Linked DNA regions of Macaca mulatta. The protein of the gene in region 1 purifies or fractionates together with the protein of each later gene. This does not show direct contact. Links are inferred from orthologs where the notes say so. Each region holds a gene or a part of one and is shown on either strand. Other genes may lie near its edges.

Evidence for each region. Proteins that work in one complex are often made in the same cells at the same time.
Region 2: the proteins of CAPN1 (region 1) and CAST purify together in Homo sapiens (co-immunoprecipitation; 4 studies listed by BioGRID and IntAct, counting the BioPlex papers as one, with this or other methods). This does not show direct contact. The link is inferred for Macaca mulatta from reciprocal best matches to the Homo sapiens genes CAPN1 and CAST.

Annotation. Positions count from the first base shown.
Region 1 is NC_133419.1:9,188,784-9,192,283, forward strand, and holds part of CAPN1 (calpain-1 catalytic subunit), read right to left. Parts: intron 3,489-3,500; coding exon 3,403-3,488; intron 3,033-3,402; coding exon 2,958-3,032; intron 2,861-2,957; coding exon 2,700-2,860; intron 1,672-2,699; exon of another isoform or gene 1,542-1,671; intron 1-1,541. UniProt on the Homo sapiens protein: Calcium-regulated non-lysosomal thiol-protease which catalyzes limited proteolysis of substrates involved in cytoskeletal remodeling and signal transduction. Proteolytically cleaves CTBP1 at 'Asn-375', 'Gly-387' and 'His-409'.
Region 2 is NC_133411.1:103,090,121-103,093,620, forward strand, and holds part of CAST (calpastatin), read left to right. Parts: intron 1-588; coding exon 589-627; intron 628-1,139; coding exon 1,140-1,232; intron 1,233-1,366; coding exon 1,367-1,453; intron 1,454-2,536; coding exon 2,537-2,638; intron 2,639-3,500.

The DNA.
Region 1 (3,500 bases):
GGCAGGAGAATCACTTGAACCCAGGAAGCAGAGGTTGCAGTGAGCTGAGATTGCCCCATTGCATTCCAGCCTGGGTAACAGGGTGAGACTCTGTCTCAAAAAAAAAAAAAAAAAAAAAAAAAGAGAACATATTATTCATAATAGCAACAAAATTATAGTGTACCTAGCATTAAATCTCAAGAGATGTATAAATTCTTTATGATAAAAAAATACAACATTCTATTGAAAGACATTAAAGGCCAAAATAAATGAAGAGATACAACGCATCCTTGGATGAGACTTAAAATTATAAAAATGTCAATTCTCCCCAAATTGGTCTATAGGTTTCATGCAATTCCAAATTAAAACCTCAAAATGGTTTTTCGTAGGACTTGGTAAACTGATCCTAAAATTCATCTGGAAAAACGAAGGCCAAGAACAGCTAAGACAGATGCAGTGGCTCACGCCTGTAATCCCAGCAATCTGGGAGGCCAAGCCAGGTGGATCATTTGAGGTCAGGAGTTCAAGACCAGCCTGGCCAACATAGTGAAACCCCGTCTCTACTAAAAATACAAACGTTAGCTGGGTGTGGTGGCAGGCACCTGTAATCACAGCTACTCAGGGGGCTGAGGCAGAAGAATCACTTGAACCCAGGAAGTGGAGGTTGCAGTGAGCCAAGATCACGCCACTGCACTCTAGCCTGGGCAACAGAGCAAGACGCCATCTCAAAAAAAAAAAAAACAGCTAAGAGACTGTTGAAGAAGGAATTTGCCTGTCCAACAGCAGGACTTACACATCTATAGTAATGGATTCAATGTGTTATTGGCAGAGGGATAGATCCAGGGACAGAATGGTGAGTCCAGAAACACACCGACATATACCTGGGGACTAGGTGAGGGCGCTAGTGCTGCTGGGGAGTGAGGAGATGATGTATTTCTCAGTAAATGGTACAGGGAACGGTGGTTATCTATTTCGGGAAAGACTGAAATTGGATCCCTACAAGGGAGAAGAATGCTTCAAAACAGAGGGCAGGGAGCCGTGCTGAGAATGAAGCACAGGAGAACAGCACAGCAGCAGATCTGGCAAGGCCAAAGCTGTAAGTGACCTTTGAAAGGGCGGTTTTAGCAGCATGGTAGGGATGAAGCTGGACTGGGAAGGGTTAAGCAATGAAGCAGAAGTGAGAAAGGAAATAGGGAGTATGGTAATTCCTGAGAAATTGTGCTTTGAAGGAGGGCAGAGAAATGAACAGGGAAGTGGGGTCGAGAGGGCTGCTTTGTGTTAAGACAGAGGATTTTCCATAATGACGCTGGAGAGAGGTGACAGATGAAGGAGCAAATGCTTTCAGAGGTCAGGGAGAATGGGATCCGGAGCAGAGGTGGGGGTCCCCATGAGCAGGGACTGTTCTGCCACTGTCGCAGGTGGGGAGGCAGTGAGGACACAGGCACAGGTGCAGAAGGCTGGGGGATTTGGAGGTGGGAACACAAGGTGTCCTGCAGGACGACGTCTATCATTTCAATGATGTGTAAGGCCAGGCCCGAAGGTGAGAGTAACAATGGGGGGAGGTGGAGGTGAGAGTGGAATCGTTACTAACCAGTAGTGGAATTGCTGGGGATCATGGAAAATGCTTATTTGAGATTTGTGGCTATGAATTTACAGGGAAAATATGGCATCAGTTATGTGATTTCTCTCCTGCCATACTCAATGGTTCCCAAGCCGGTGGAGAGCTGGGTTCCACTAGGATGGGTATTGTGCCAGATGATGGGAGACAGGGGCCAGGGGACAGAAGGTGTTTGTAGGAACAAGATTAAAATGATAGCTCTAACCTAGGTAAGGAGAAAAGGCAAGACGGGAGAGGCAGGATGGTATACAAGTGGTGAGTTCAACGGGCTGGCTTGGTCCAAGGGCTGAAGACTAAGGGAGTAGAAAGAGTCAAAGGTGGAGGTCAGAGAGCGGGTGTTTGCAAGGCAAGGCAGCTCTGGTGCCCTCATGGTGGGGGCTGAGCTAAGGTACAGGAAAAGCCTGCTGCAGGTGAGAGTGACAAGGAACTGAGAGGCCAGGCTGTGGCCCGTGTCAGCCACATGGATCTAGAAGCCCAGGGAAAGATGGCAAGAGAAGACAGAAGGGACCTAGAACAGTGGCTCACGCCTATAATCCCAGCACTTTGGGAGGCCAAGGTGGTCGGATCACCTGAGGTCAGGAGTTCGAGACCAGCCTGGCCAACATGGAGAAACCCGCCTCTACTAAAAACACAAAAATTAGCTGGGTGTGGTAGGTGCCTGTAATCCCAGCTACACGGGAGGCTACGGCAGGAGAATTGCTTGAACCCGGGAGATGGAGGTTGTAGCGAGCCGAGGTCAGGCCACTGTACTCACAGAGTGAGACTCTGTCTCAGAAAAAAAAAAAAAAAAAAAAGAGAAGGCAGGAGGGAAGGGCCCAGAAAGGAGTGACAAGGAGGTGGCTGGATGGCCACAAGATCTTCTCCCCGCATGAGCACACTGGGCTCAGGCCCCAGGACGGTGAGTCAAGCTTGCCTCTTTAAAATGTGCGAAGACATTTAATATTTTACTCCTCAAAGCAAATTCAAGAGATCAGCCTGTATCTTGCAAGTGAGGAAACAGAGGCTCAGTGAGATGACGTGCCTTCTGGAGCCCCTAAGCCAGGAAGCAGCAAGAACCAAAGCCCGCCTGTGTGCAACCTCCGCGTCCGCGGACTCAGGTCACCTGGGTAGTTCCGGCAGCCCCCCGCGGTGCTCCCCCGCCGCCAGGTGCCTTCATAGAGTGTGGTGTTCCATTTGCGGATGGTCCGGCTCTTAAGGGCGTCGGGCGTGAGGTTGCAGATCTCCAGGCGGGTGAACTCCCGCATGAAGTCTCGGAATGACATCCTGAGGGAGGAGGTGCACAGGTGAGGCACAGCCCATCAGGGCACAGAGCTGATGTGTAGGGGTGGAGAGGTGGGGGAGAAGGGGAGGGGGCGCTCACCAGAACTCCCCATCCTCCATCTTGACCCGGAGCTGCTCCCGTTCATATGGGTCCACGCTGTTCCACTCTGAGGAGCTGTGAGGAGCGGGGCTCTGCCAGGGCTGGTGGCACTGACCTGCCTGGCCTCTGCCCCTGGGGCCTGTCTACCCTGGCCTGTCTTCCCCCAGCCCAACCCAGGTGGCCTCCTCAAGGTCAAGCCCCAAAGTTCCGGTTCTAGCGAGTGGTCTCATCAGGGCCAGTCAGAGGCCCTGCGAACACCCGACGGCTGGGCACAGGCCCGCACGGCCTGAGCTTTGTTAGGGCAGTCCCCCAGACCCAGTTGCGTGAAGATGGGTCCCTCTGCTCAATCCTGAGTCCAGCCTGGCCTGGTAGAGCCCCGAGCAGAAATGTCGGGGCACCTAACAGTTTCCCCAAGGCACCCCAGACAGTACCCACTGCCCCTCACCTGTCGCTCCAGGCTCCCGTCCACTCTACCTCACCCCAGGGGTTCCGCATCCGGATCAGGTTCACCATCTGGCCTCGGTAGTTCACCTGTTTCCCAGA
Region 2 (3,500 bases), on another chromosome or scaffold:
CTTTAGAATATAATTTCATGTCATTATTTTTACAATGTTTAAAAGTTAGAAAACATAATGTGCATGTGAAATTGTCATTACTCTGAAGCTCACTGCATTGGTTGGATGGGGCTGCTGTAAGAAAGTACCACAGATCAGGGGCATAAACAAGAGATTGATTGTCTCACAGTTCTGGAGGCTGGAAGTCTAGAATCAAGGTGTCAGCAGGGCTGGTTCCTGCTGAGGCTGTGAGGGAAAGGTATCTTTGAAGCCTATTCTTGGCTTATAGATGGCCGTCTTCTCCCCACGTCTCTTCACACCATCTTCCTTCTGTGCTTCTATGCATATCTCTGGGTCCAAATTTCCCCGTTTTGTAAGGACACGCATCATATTGGAGTAGGGCCCACCCTAATGACCTCACCTTTACTTGATTACTTCTATAAGGAACCTATCTCAAAATCAGGTCTCGTTTTGAGGTACTGGGGTTAAGACTTCAACATATAGATCTGGGGTGGGAGGCACAATTCAACCCACAATGGGCCATACATTTTGCCCATCTTAAGGATTAATTCTGCCTTCTCAACGTCATCAAATTAATATTTGTTTCAGAAAACGGAAGGGATCACAGGGCCTCCTCCAGACTCTTTGGTGAGTTTACATACATGTCTTCTGATCTAAATTAATATGTTTTATATTTTTGGTTGGGGGAACAGGGCTATCAATTCTATATTTGAGGATTATGATTTAACTCATCTCCAAATCAAATGGAGTTTCTGTGTGTTCAGAGAAAGGGCTTGGTGTGAGGGTTGTTTCAGTGCTCCTGAGTCCCATAAGTAGGGTTTCTGAGGGGAAGGAGAATGAAGGCAAGAAAGTATTAGGATAAACTGCATGTTCATAATAATAGAATGAGAATATTCTAACATGTAACTCCTTTAGAAACGGGGAAGTGGAAAATAATACTTAGTGAGTATTCACTAAACCTACTTAGTGAGTAGCCGCTCGCTTCAAAACATACAGTTTGATCTAAGTTGTTTTATTAACACATCTCATTTGGTTGCAAAGGAATTAGAAAAATGCATTCTTCATTTGCTAGCTTTATTATCCATTCTTCCACTTCAGCGGTTCCCATAAGTTACCCATCACTGTGCCTGTTTCTTTAGAAACCCATGGGGCCAGATGATGCTATAGATGCCTTGTCATCTGACTTCACCTGTGGGTCGCCTACAGCTGCTGGAAAGAAAACTGAAAAAGAGGTATTGTTTTTAGTGTTGTTAAGGGAAACTTGTTAGGAACTATTTTGAACTTTAAAAGAATAACTTTTTAGTTCAGGCTATTCCAGTTAAAGTTTCCTCATCCGTAAATCTCATCTTTAGTATTTTATTTTCAGGAATCTACAGAAGTTTTAAAAGCTCAATCAGCAGGGACAGTCAGAAGTGCTGCTCCACCCCAAGAGAAGAAAAGAAAGGTGGAGAAGGTATAATCACAGTCTACCTGACAGCAGTTGCTTTCCAGAGCCTGATCTAGCTCATTCAGGAAGCTGCCAGTAGCGCATTACCCATGAGGAGAAGCCATGATTTTTTCCCTCTCAGGTCTATCCGGAATAGGGAAGCCAATGAGGGTTATATTAATCATCTCCAGGCAAGCCTTGTGTGTTTCTGTAACTGCCTGGGAATTATTTTAGCACAGTTGTCTTGGTTGTCACCTAAGACCATCTCACCATTATGATACACAGAAGGGCAGAAACCAGAGAAATTGCACTCTTGGAACATAAAACCTTCAAGTTTGATTTTCTAAAGGACTTTGAGCACTGAGGATCACTAGAGGGACACCATGTCGCTGGTACTGCCCCCCACTCTCAGCTGTATTTCACTATGACATAATTCTCACAAATCGCAAAGGCAATCCTGCAGCTCTGTGCTGGCTGGGAACACATGTCTCCTCTGCAAACAGTCAAGATAATGCCCAGGAACAGTTTCTATCAGAGCTGCTTGTGCCTCTCCCCTCCTGGAGTGGACAGTTTATTTTTATCTGGCAGGCTGGGGAACAGTGGTGAGCACCACACCCCTGAGAGTGGGAGTTCCTCCAGCGATCAGCCATTGTGCCTTCAGAGAAGAAGTCAGCGGGGGCCACTTCAAGCTTCCCTGCTTTCAGCTTAGCAGGTTTGCTAAAGGTTATCAGAAGCCTTTTTAGAGACACAGTTTTAGAAAAAGAAAAACAGGGTGGTAACAGTTTACTACTTGCTTCTTTTTTGTGGTTGTTAAGAGTATTTTATAATAATATTACTATAGCTTTATGTCTAGCTTACCAAATAAGGGGTGAAGTGTGCCCCAGAGAACGCTGTTACTATAGAAACGTGTCTTAGCCCCAATTTCCACTCATTGGTAAGTTCTTTTTCCTTTCTCTCTTTTGCAAGGTTTCAAATAAACTTGCCTTTCTAGAGCACTTCCCCAATCCACATTCAGTTTATAATCTAAAATGTATTTCACAAAGAAGTAAATGGATTGTTCAGGCTCCAGAGATGTCTTTTCTCATGCACAGAATTTTTTACTTTTAACAGGATACAATGAGCGATCAAGCACTGGAGGCTCTGTCGGCTTCACTGGGCACCCGGCAAGCAGAACCTGAGCTCGACCTCAGCTCGATTAAGGAAGTCGATGAGGTACTGACCTTAGAGTTGATTTACAAAGCGTGTTAGTCTGCACATTACAAAACTGGATGCATTCTGCATGTTTAGAATTCTTGCACAACTTTTGCTGGAGAGTAAAAGTGAACATTCTTCATTGTGCCTTATTTATTGCTGAGTCGTTAGCAACTAAGAGGGATAGTTAAGTGATTGCTTGTGAAACAGCTAGAATTTTAACATTTGAAATGAGCATGAATCTTCCTTGCTAGAGCTTCAATGACACCTGACTAAACAAGGTAACAAGGAGGCAGTGCCTGGCGGGAAATAGTGAAGTTTGGCAATTGGAAATTTGTATTTTCAGAAGGGTTCTGGGTGCTTCTCTTTATAAGAGAGGGAGATGTCTATACAAGGAGTGGGAAGATCCTTCATTTATCACTGTGGGGAAAGATGTTGAAAATTTTGTCTCAAATTAAAATCAAGCAACGATTACTCCGTAACTAGAGCTCCTGCATATTTAGAGAATAATGCTGATAAGTGTTTATCCCACCACACTCCAAGATCTTAACAAGCCTCTGAACCAAAACAAGCTTATATCTGGTGTAGGAAAGTTTTAATATTAAATTATAATTTTTGTAGAATTTTTCAACTTGGTCCTTTTGGGGGAAAGAGGAAGGAAAAGAGAGAGTTGCCCGTTCCTGACAAGGCGGTGTTGTGGGGAGATGGAAAGGCAGCCTGGGATCCACAGGAGCTCACCCTGCCTCCATCAGCTCAGGCTGGGGGAGCTGGTAGGCACTGCTGTCACAATGCCCCATCTCTGCTGTCACTTCCTGTTCTGAGTCATCAGGGAAGGGGAGTCTCCCTGACTACCAGCAACTATCCTTGAGTCTAGGACTACCCT